Linked DNA regions of Arabidopsis thaliana. The protein of the gene in region 1 interacts with the protein of each later gene in a pairwise test. Each region holds a gene or a part of one and is shown on either strand. Other genes may lie near its edges.

The links. Proteins that work in one complex are often made in the same cells at the same time.
Region 2: the proteins of AT1G05510 (region 1) and IP5PII interact in binary tests that used the Arabidopsis thaliana proteins (3 or more experiments, as listed by UniProt).

Annotation. Positions count from the first base shown.
Region 1 is NC_003070.9:1,627,600-1,631,415, forward strand, and holds AT1G05510 (naphthalene 1,2-dioxygenase subunit alpha (DUF1264)), read left to right. Parts: upstream 1-1,846; 5' UTR 1,847-1,927; coding exon 1,928-2,073; intron 2,074-2,416; coding exon 2,417-2,820; intron 2,821-2,915; coding exon 2,916-3,091; 3' UTR 3,092-3,264; downstream 3,265-3,816. Other genes in the region: NTMC2T2.1 (Calcium-dependent lipid-binding (CaLB domain) family protein), read left to right, coding at 5-155, 229-459, 561-839, 930-1,043, 1,195-1,341; AT1G05520 (Sec23/Sec24 protein transport family protein), read right to left, coding at 3,527-3,673, 3,791-3,816.
Region 2 is NC_003075.7:9,990,500-9,996,524, forward strand, and holds IP5PII (myo-inositol polyphosphate 5-phosphatase 2), read right to left. Parts: upstream 4,026-6,025; 5' UTR 3,601-4,025; coding exon 3,571-3,600; intron 3,474-3,570; coding exon 3,368-3,473; intron 3,286-3,367; coding exon 3,184-3,285; intron 3,020-3,183; coding exon 2,923-3,019; intron 2,835-2,922; coding exon 2,730-2,834; intron 2,595-2,729; coding exon 1,736-2,594; intron 1,645-1,735; coding exon 1,460-1,644; intron 1,372-1,459; coding exon 1,263-1,371; intron 1,146-1,262; coding exon 997-1,145; coding exon of another isoform or gene 993-996; exon of another isoform or gene 894-992; coding exon 695-893; 3' UTR 502-694; downstream 1-501. UniProt on the Arabidopsis thaliana protein: Has phosphatase activity toward Ins(1,4,5)P3 and Ins(1,3,4,5)P4. Seems to be involved in the abscisic acid (ABA) signaling pathway. Could also be able to hydrolyze PtdIns(4,5)P2 and PtdIns(3,4,5)P3.

The DNA of each region.
Region 1 (3,816 bases):
CCAGCGATCTGGAGCTAAAGCCTGTTGGAATGTTAGAGGTGAAGCTTGTGCAAGCAAAGAACTTGACCAACAAAGATCTAGTTGGAAAATCAGACCCCTTTGCTAAAATGTTTATACGCCCTTTGCGTGAAAAGACTAAAAGAAGCAAGACAATTGTAAGTAGTCCATCTAATCCTCTTTTTGTGCTAAACCTACCAGAATGATCTGATTTATATTTATTCTCATCAGAACAATGACCTGAATCCCATCTGGAATGAGCATTTTGAATTTGTTGTGGAAGACGCGTCAACTCAACATTTAGTGGTCAGAATATATGATGACGAGGGTGTACAAGCATCTGAGCTTATTGGTTGTGCCCAAATCCGGCTTTGTGAACTTGAACCTGGTAAAGTGAAAGACGTCTGGTTGAAGCTGGTCAAAGATTTGGAGATCCAGAGAGATACTAAGAACCGTGGAGAGGTTAGATCGGCTATAAATTTCCCCTAATTAAATAAACCCTGTGATTTTGTATCTGTACATGGCTAATGAATGGACGTTATTGTTGATTCTCTGTAATTTAGGTTCACCTTGAGCTCCTTTACATCCCTTATGGTTCGGGAAACGGCATTGTAAATCCCTTTGTCACTTCATCGATGACGTCCTTAGAGAGGGTGCTCAAGAATGATACAACAGATGAAGAAAATGCATCAAGCCGTAAAAGAAAAGATGTCATTGTAAGAGGAGTTCTCTCTGTGACAGTGATATCTGCAGAAGAGATACCAATACAAGATCTGATGGGGAAAGCTGATCCATATGTTGTTCTCTCGATGAAGAAATCAGGTGCCAAGAGCAAAACTCGGGTAAGTCCTCTCATTTAAAGCATCAAAGAGTTATCCATGTTATAGATGTTTCATCCTCCTCATTAACTAATGGCAATTTTGCTTCACCAGGTCGTCAATGACAGCTTGAACCCGGTATGGAACCAGACTTTTGATTTTGTAGTTGAAGACGGGTTACATGATATGCTAGTCCTTGAAGTCTGGGACCACGACACCTTTGGAAAGGTAAAACCAAACCGCAACAACACTGTTATTTGATGGTTATTATTCTGCGTCATTGCACCAAATGGATGTTTTTCTCGTTTGGTTTATTATTTATTGTGTTGGCATTGGGCATTGGAAAAATGAAACATTGTGGCTTTACTTTTGTGGACAGGACTACATTGGGAGATGTATCCTCACGTTGACAAGGGTTATAATGGAAGAGGAGTACAAAGACTGGTACCCATTAGACGAATCCAAAACGGGCAAGCTTCAGCTGCATCTGAAGTGGATGGCTCAATCAATTTATCGTGATTCCTAAGCTTAATCGGTAGAATCAATTTATCGTGATTCCTAAGCTTAATCGGAAGATTCACAACTTCGAATGTACATGTTGTCTAGTAGCGTCAAACGGATGTGTTTTGTCAAACAAAGACGAGTCTGCATGTAGCCCAGAAGCTGTGGACTCGGAATATGAGTTTTCCTCTTTTTTTCTGAAAACCCTAGACAATACTCGTGTACGTTTGCCTCATAAGCTCAGATGTCATAAGGGGTTTGATCTTTGCGTGCATCACAATCCTTCAATAATTTTTTACCTTTTACCCTAAAATCTCGTCTACACGTATCACCATATTTGTCTTCACCAAGTTTGTTTCACTATCATAATCAGCGATCTCTTGACACATATTGACTAGTCCTTGTTGCTTATTATCCTCAAGTGAAGCCAAATAAGCCACGCACACTCGGTGACACCTTCAATGTTTGCCATGTGTCATAGTCCATGCAAATGCCCACTTCATTTTATTAAGACGAGAGCTATACAAACACCGTCTCTTCTTATTCACTTGCTGCTAGTTATAAGAATCAGACAGAAGTTGCAGAGAAAAGAGAATTAATTGATTGGTGTAATGGAGAAGGCAGTTCATTTATCCACCAAAAATGGACCCAAGGTTCCAGGAGAGCCAACGAAGACCGGAACCTCCATGGTTGACACGGCAGCTTCAGCCGTACAAAGCTTCGCTCCGATTAACCAAATCCACCAACATCTCTGCGCGTACGCTTCTGAAATTGTTAATCTTCTCTTTTCATTTTATCTTTAAACAAGAAATAAAGAAGAGGATCGGAAGAATGAGGGATAATCATAACAGTATAAAACCTACACCACATTTTTTCGTTTAATAGATCTGTCAAATTCTTGTAGTTTAGATTTAAAAAACATTGTATTGATATCTTACGTAAATCAAGTTAATCAAATTTTCTTGAATTTTTAATCGATGTGAACACGTGTGGAGTTGTGTACATGCATGCAGAATGAAACTTAACTATTTCATATGAGTTTGTTTGCATCAGTAAAAAGATGAACTATATATATCCTCTCCTTTTTGCGCTTGTCATAGGTTTCATTTCTATGCATATGACATGACCCGACAAGTGGAGGCACACCATTTCTGTGGTCACATCAACGAAGACATGCGCCAGTGTCTGATCTACGACGGTCCTGATGCCAACGCTCGTCTGATCGGTCTGGAGTACATTGTGACAGAGAAGCTCTTTATGACATTGCCTGACGATGAGAAGAAGCTTTGGCACACTCACGAGTGGGAAGTTAAAGGAGGCTTCTTGTTCATGCCCGGTGTTCCCGAAGCTATTCAACGGCAAGATCTCGAAAAAGTCGCCAAGACTTATGGGAAAGTTTACCATTTCTGGCAAGTCGATTTGGGGCATCAGCTTCCCATTGGCTTGCCTAATATCATGATGGCTGTTACTCGAGACGGACAACTTTATCCGGAAATGATCAAGGGTACGTAGATTTGTCATTTATAGGTTATGCTTAGTCAAATATGCTTTTATGAAAGTTAACATGAACATTTTGAAATGTTCAATGGGTGACCGCAGAGACGGAAAAGCAATTTGGAGTATCGATAGACAAGGAGCGAGAGTCAAGGGCTTATATGAAGGGTCCAGACCATGGGATCCATCCCTTGGCAAATGGAGGAGGCAAAGGCCTGAAGTTGGAGTTGCGAGAGGTTGACATAAAGCCGGTTGAGTCCGTTCCAAGAGTCTTCGTTTAAGTTATACTTAAATAGACAACTTAAGAAGAATAAATAAATAAGCGATCGAGCTTTTCTTTTGTATAGCCCTCCTCGAATCATGTGTATAAGATGTAAAATACACTTGAAGTAGTATATTATGGTGTCGTCTAGTGGTTTTAAATATTACGTCTTCATGACTCCAGTTCATTATCTTTTATGACCCTGCGGGTAATCGTTATTATAACCTTAGAGAAAAGATGATAATACTATGACCAAATGGAAACTACAAAATTTGTTGAATCACACTATGATAAATAAAGGCCCCAGTGAAAAGAAAGGAACAGAAGCGTAGTCTTGTCATGTGTGTGTATAACAAATGTAAGACACTTGAGGCATTTTGGTGAGCGACGACTGCATCTTCTTTATTTGAACTTGTCTCAATTGAAATGGAAGAACAGAGAGACCTCTGTGTTCTCAAGATTGAACAGCCAATTTCTGAAGATGTTGGAAGAAGACTTGAAGACTGACATCATCCGTGAAGATTATATCAGAGCCTGCATTCATCTCGCTTGCATTGTTGTATGTTGCTGACGGATTTAGCTTTGCTAACAGAAACCTTGCCTGTCCATTATTGCCATACGTATTACAGAACATCAGTAAACACTAGGCAACTTTCAGTGTTTCACACTTGAACAATCAACTACAAATTCAGAGATGAAAGGGGTTAAAAACACTGACCTGGGATCCATGTTGATCACAAACAA
Region 2 (6,025 bases), on another chromosome or scaffold:
CATATCTCTATAGGAATTTTGAACTATTGTAGAGAAAAAATAACTTATTACCAATGCATAAACAAATACTCTTTTTGGCATCTTTTCGGGTATCGAAACAAATAATTAGTTTTTAAAAAATAAGTCTGCAAATGGTTACATGCAAATGAATGATTGAAAAATATGAATTAAACAAAAATAAAGTTGGACATTATTCAACTCATTACAAATTTCTTTTATAGTTAATTTATTTTTCTAACTTTTTTTTTGAATGGGTTAAATGAATTTTTCAACTTATTCATCTCAGATGGTACGAAATGAGATGAATGATTATTCAACTCTTTCAACTTCTTATTTTGAGACAAAACATTTGCACCATAGTTTGTTCTTCAATTTAAAAGATTCACAGCAGACCAACTCCTTTAATTTAGAGTTTGTTTGGTCCATTATTTGCATGTCAAATGGTTTTCAGAGTTGGATCAACTAAATTTATGTATAGCACAAAAATTTTAATGATAAATAGTAGATCATAAAGTGAATTCAAATAAATTAAAAGGCTCGTATTGACAAGTAAAAAAAATAAATTTGGTTAGATTATAGATTAACCGGAACAAAACAATAACAAAATCAAAACCCAAACGAATCCCATGTATAAAAAAAATTACAGAAATTAGCGTATAAATTATTATTCTTTTTTATAAGACACTTATTAGACTCAAAAAGAAGGTTCAGGATGAACAGCAGAAGCAGCTGCGTTATTAACGTGAAGAGCTCTTTGAAGTTTCCGGTGATCGAACACTTCAACTCCAACGTTAAAAATCGAAGTCACCGGCCGGTGATCGGACATTCTTATCTCCGATCTCTTATAACATTCTTGTCTTATTCCTTTTCCTAACCATAATATCCTATCACACCTATTAATAACACCAACAAGATAAACAATTTAAGAATCACCCAAATGTTTCGTAAATTTAAAAATAACCACATAATTTTCAAATGTTCAATTTAGTCACTTACCAAGCAGGAGCTCTCTTCTTCTCCGGTTCTCTCAAGTTTTCTCCGGCGTAACGATCAGAATCGAATTCGTATTTATAGGTTGGAGGGAATTTAATCGGTCCTTCTCTCCATCCATCAAAAACATGCCCTCTTCTTAATTCTCTAATCAACTGTGTAATTAAATTGAAATCTTGTTTTAATAACTTAACATAATAGTCTAAATGTCTAATAGATGAAAATAAACTTAACAAAGTACTATCAAAACTAAACATAATCAAGAACCGAACCTGATCACTGTTCTTGAGCTCATCCCATCGTTTTTGTGAGACAAGCTTTCTTACTTCACCGTCTGACATATTAAGTCGGTAGTTCAAATCTCCGAACCAAAATACTTGACTGTTGAAAATTTCCGACATAAAAATTCAATTAGTAAAAGCAAAAAACGTTTAATGCTTTACGTTTTGTAATCTTGATTATTGCTTACTCGTGACATGGAATCGTCCTTGGTTGATCAGTGTCAAGAACCGATGCAAAACGAGTCCTACGTATGATTTCGTACACGTCAGCATTCCGGCGTTGCTCAGCACCGTCTTTGTGGCCGGAAGTTAAGTGTGAGCACACAAAACACATCCGTGATTGATACAACGTCATGCTAATCGACACTGATCCCTGCAAGCATATCAAATATATTAAGAAAGTGCTAAAAAAGTTAAGGTTGGGGTTACTTGGAGAGGAAGATAGGGTTAGGTTTTTGTTTTACCTTGTTTCCCATGTAGCCCATCAAGCCAACTCCGACCGGTGAGACTTTCAGGTTGTTGACATGTCTTCTTAACCGTCGTCGGATCCAAACCGATACATAGATCCCAACCATTTGCTTACTTACTATCCTTACATACTTTTGACTATCTTTCACTTTCCGACACTCCTCCACCAAATCTTCCGGCAATCCATAACTATTTCTGATCTTGTCACCATCCTCTTCGTCCTGGGAAGACGAATCTCCGTCTGATGAATCATCATGCATGATTTTTGCAGCTTCTTCCGCTTCGGACGAGGAGGAGGACCTATTATCAATCTCTTCTTTTATATCATTCCAACTCAAGTTTAAAGTTTCAAAGCTCCGTGAGCGTTTCAATTGTCTTGCTTCCGAAGCAAATCTACTAGCTCCTGATGGATTCTCCGGTAGCTTAAATCCTAGCGTCGCGTTGCTGCTAAATACCCTCCTTAGCTTCCCCTCTGATCCAACTATCTGAGGGTTGCTATCTAAAGCTAGTTCCGGCCAGTCCATGTTCGGATTCCGCTGTGGTTCAAGGCTCGGTAAAGCGGTTGCAGCATCGATGAACTCGTTTGTAGCTAAATCCAGCGAGTGGTCCGCAACTAGATTCTCTACCATGACATGAGAGATAATGGAGTTTGCTTCTTGTGCCAAGATAGGAGACGACGGCGCGCTGTGAGATCTATGAAGAGCGTTGTTGTTGCAGCTTGGCGATTGATCATAAACTGATTCTTTATTGGATTTGTTTAGTGTTCTACGAATTATCGATTCCCATTTCGGAATCGGACCTCTATCTTCTGCTCCGAAAACGTTTCCAGCGTTTAATGGAACCACTTCTTGAAACCTATAACAAGTTTTACATCAATAAAGATATATAGGTTCATCAAAACAGAGGAAAATACTCTGTTTTTGAGAAGAAGAAAAAAAAGAGTAAATTTTCTTTGAAAATAGTAAAATTTGAAGTGACTTTTTAACTTACCCGATAATGTAAATATCTGAAGGATTATCAGTAGAGAGCCAATCTTCAATCTCGAGATCATCGGAGGGACGTTTTCCGGCGACGTTCCATGTAGCCACCGTCACTCTATAAAGTAATTCCACCATAAATAATAAAGTCAGAAGATATTTCACCGGTAAAAAAAGAGAGATGAAACTTCCAGAAACACCCTTACTTGATATCCTTTGTGTTAATGTATTGAGCTCTCAAAGTCTCCGATTTGCCTCGCCGGTGTTTCCTTTGGTAACCACCCCTCACACTCACACCACCATCTAAAGGATTAAAAAAAAAAAAAAAATCAGAAAATATATTATTATTCTTCTGTTATTTTATTTGTGAAAAACCATATTTTTTATTCAAATGATTAATGAATGTAGAGATTTTTTTAAAAAATTCAATATAAAAATTTTCCAAAAAAAGAAATAAGAATCGTTGCCTGAAATATTATTGCCGTGATCAGCTTCGCTACCTCGACGACCATTATGGCTGTCTTCATCAGTTACACAGTGAACATTTGGGACGTCTTTGACCGAACATACTGTAAAAGGGACCCAACAAAACAATTAAGATTAAAAAACACGGAATTATAGACCAAATTTGACCTAAATTTCAATACTTACCATCGTCTTCGCTCTCAGGTTCTGTATCAATTTCGTCTTCGCTAAAATCGTAAACTTTAGGTTTTCTGTTTAACCATTTATTCATCACAATTGATGGCCAAAACCTCTGTTTTACATCAAAGACGAGAAAACATCAGAATCTTTGTAATCAGAGAATTAAAGAAACAAGAATAAAAAAGAGAGAGAATCTTAATCTTGTGTACCTCAGGACGTTTCCCACGTCTTGTTTTCATCTTCTTAGATCTCAGAAAAAGATTTTGTTTCTTTGGGGGAGTTTCGAGGAGAATTTGAACAGAAGAAAATGTCAGAGTTTGATATTTATAATAGTGACAGAGAGTTAAAGAAGAGACACGAACTAGAGCAAGAACAAGAAGAAAGGACACAAAGAAAAAAAAAGTGGAGAGTACAAACAAGAAGACGTGTGAAGGCAAAGGCAAAGGCAAAAGAAAAAAAAAGGTGTAATGATGAAAATTCTCTGATATTATTTTTTGGGTTCGTTTCGAAGAAAAGCTATGGCTGTTATTTAACAGCCTTCGTTGCCCGTAAAGAACCAAACTGCAACTTGCGATCCACTTTTTTTATTCATAATTTGATTTTTTGGGGAAGACATATTAAAGAAAACTATAAAGACTGTCAGATTTAATTCCCTGATTTCTTCTTTCTCACACGTGTTTTCGGTTTTTGGATATATTCGAACCGACCTGGTTTTCTCAATTCGGTTTTACTAGACTGATTGTACCGACCATACCGAATTATTATAAATGTTTACTTCATCTTTTAAGATAGTGGCATTTAGTTAAAGTAAACCGAATCAAACAGACAGACTGAAACTTTTTTATAAAAGTTAACCGAAATTTTAATTTATCTAAACATTTTTTTTTTTTGCGTATACTAGTTAAACTGAATTAGCAAAAAATGGCTCGTTGGAAGTCAAAACTATATTTTGACAAGCAGTTTTGCGGAGTAAAAGTGATTATTTGAGAATTAGTTTTGCTGAAATACTTTGACCTGACTTAAGTTAGTGGTTTGCTTTAACCAAAAATCTAAAACACATAAACCAAAACCAACCAAAATCCGATTCAACGCTGCTATCTGGATAATATATTAAATAAACGGCCTTTTTGGTATGTTATTAAAAAGGTCAAAATGTCACTCTCCTAGGCAACAAATATATGGATTAATTTTTTCAATACGAGTCTAGCTCCAGCTAATATTTTCAGCCATACAGTCGGCGAATAGATAGATTATTTATTTGACTAATGTTTCGTTAAATAATATTATACGATAACTATGAATTGGAACCATTAGAAAACAACGAAAAAGTGAGAATCCCTCACATTTAAAAGTCTTAAAATTGTCTATATCTTTTCTTTGTTAACTGTTATGTTTTAACTTAAAACATTTCTAAAACTAAATTATATTTCCAATTTCCAAAACAGGTGAATTTGAAGGATACTCAACTGAGAAGATATAAAGTATGGAGTCCAATATGGTATGGAAATACATAACTTTGAATTTCTGACAGCATATTTGTAAAAAATATTTACCAAGAAATATCTAATTAATAACTGAAGATTATTTCAACTAAACATAATCATCATCATAAAATAAATTGACGCGTTATTAAGAAAAAAGGAAAAAAAAACTGACGCCCATGCAATGCAATTTGCGGATAGAGGACGTAACGAAGGTCATTAGGAAAGTTTCGGTTGACCAAAGCTACTTAAATAAATTAGTTTGATTCACAAAATGGCGACACGACGACGCTGGTTGACCATAAAATAGTTAATGGGATAAAAAAAAATACAAATACTAAAAGCTCAGTGGGAAGATTTAAATATATTTACTTATCATCAACTAGAGCGACGGGATAACTAATAAGTATTTGGATAAATTAATTCATAATTTAACCACTGTTTAAGGTTTACGTTAAATTTACTTCTTATCATATTGCTATTTTTGTTACTCTAAAGATCGTTTGTTCATTGTTGTTAATTAATTATCATCAATTGCTAATTTACTATCTATAAGGTTATACATCAAATGATTTTTGGAAAGAACATAAACTTTTTTTAGTTCGAGTCCATTTGATATTACAATGACAATCTCAAAAAAAAAGATGAAAGGTTGATTTCAGAGTTGCAAATATTAGACTGTCACTTTAAAACTTCATTATTATTATATATATAAAAAAAACAAATAAAATTATACAACAAAGATTACCACTTTCCAAAATATCATGTCCCTTAGATATTTTTAGAAAGAGGGTAACATTATATAAAGTTAACCTTTTAACAAAAGAAACAAAATTTTATTAAAACATTCAAATTAAAAACTAACAAAATATATATCGGTAGGAAATTGATAATTTATTTATATTTGATCAGGTCGGTCGGTCGAAAATATTCAAAATGTGGGTTTTCTATCGTGATCTGTAACACATTAATAATATGAAGTAATTAATACATTTAAATTTACCAAATCCAACACAAATATTAGATACGATTGGTAGGCCGGTATAAAGGTACATATGGACCACATACCTGTACGCGCACCCATAAATAAGGAGACAATTATTCCCTAATTAGCAGTATTATAGAACTAACTTAGAAATTTATTGAGTTAGTTCTATAATACTGCTAATTAGGGAATAATTGT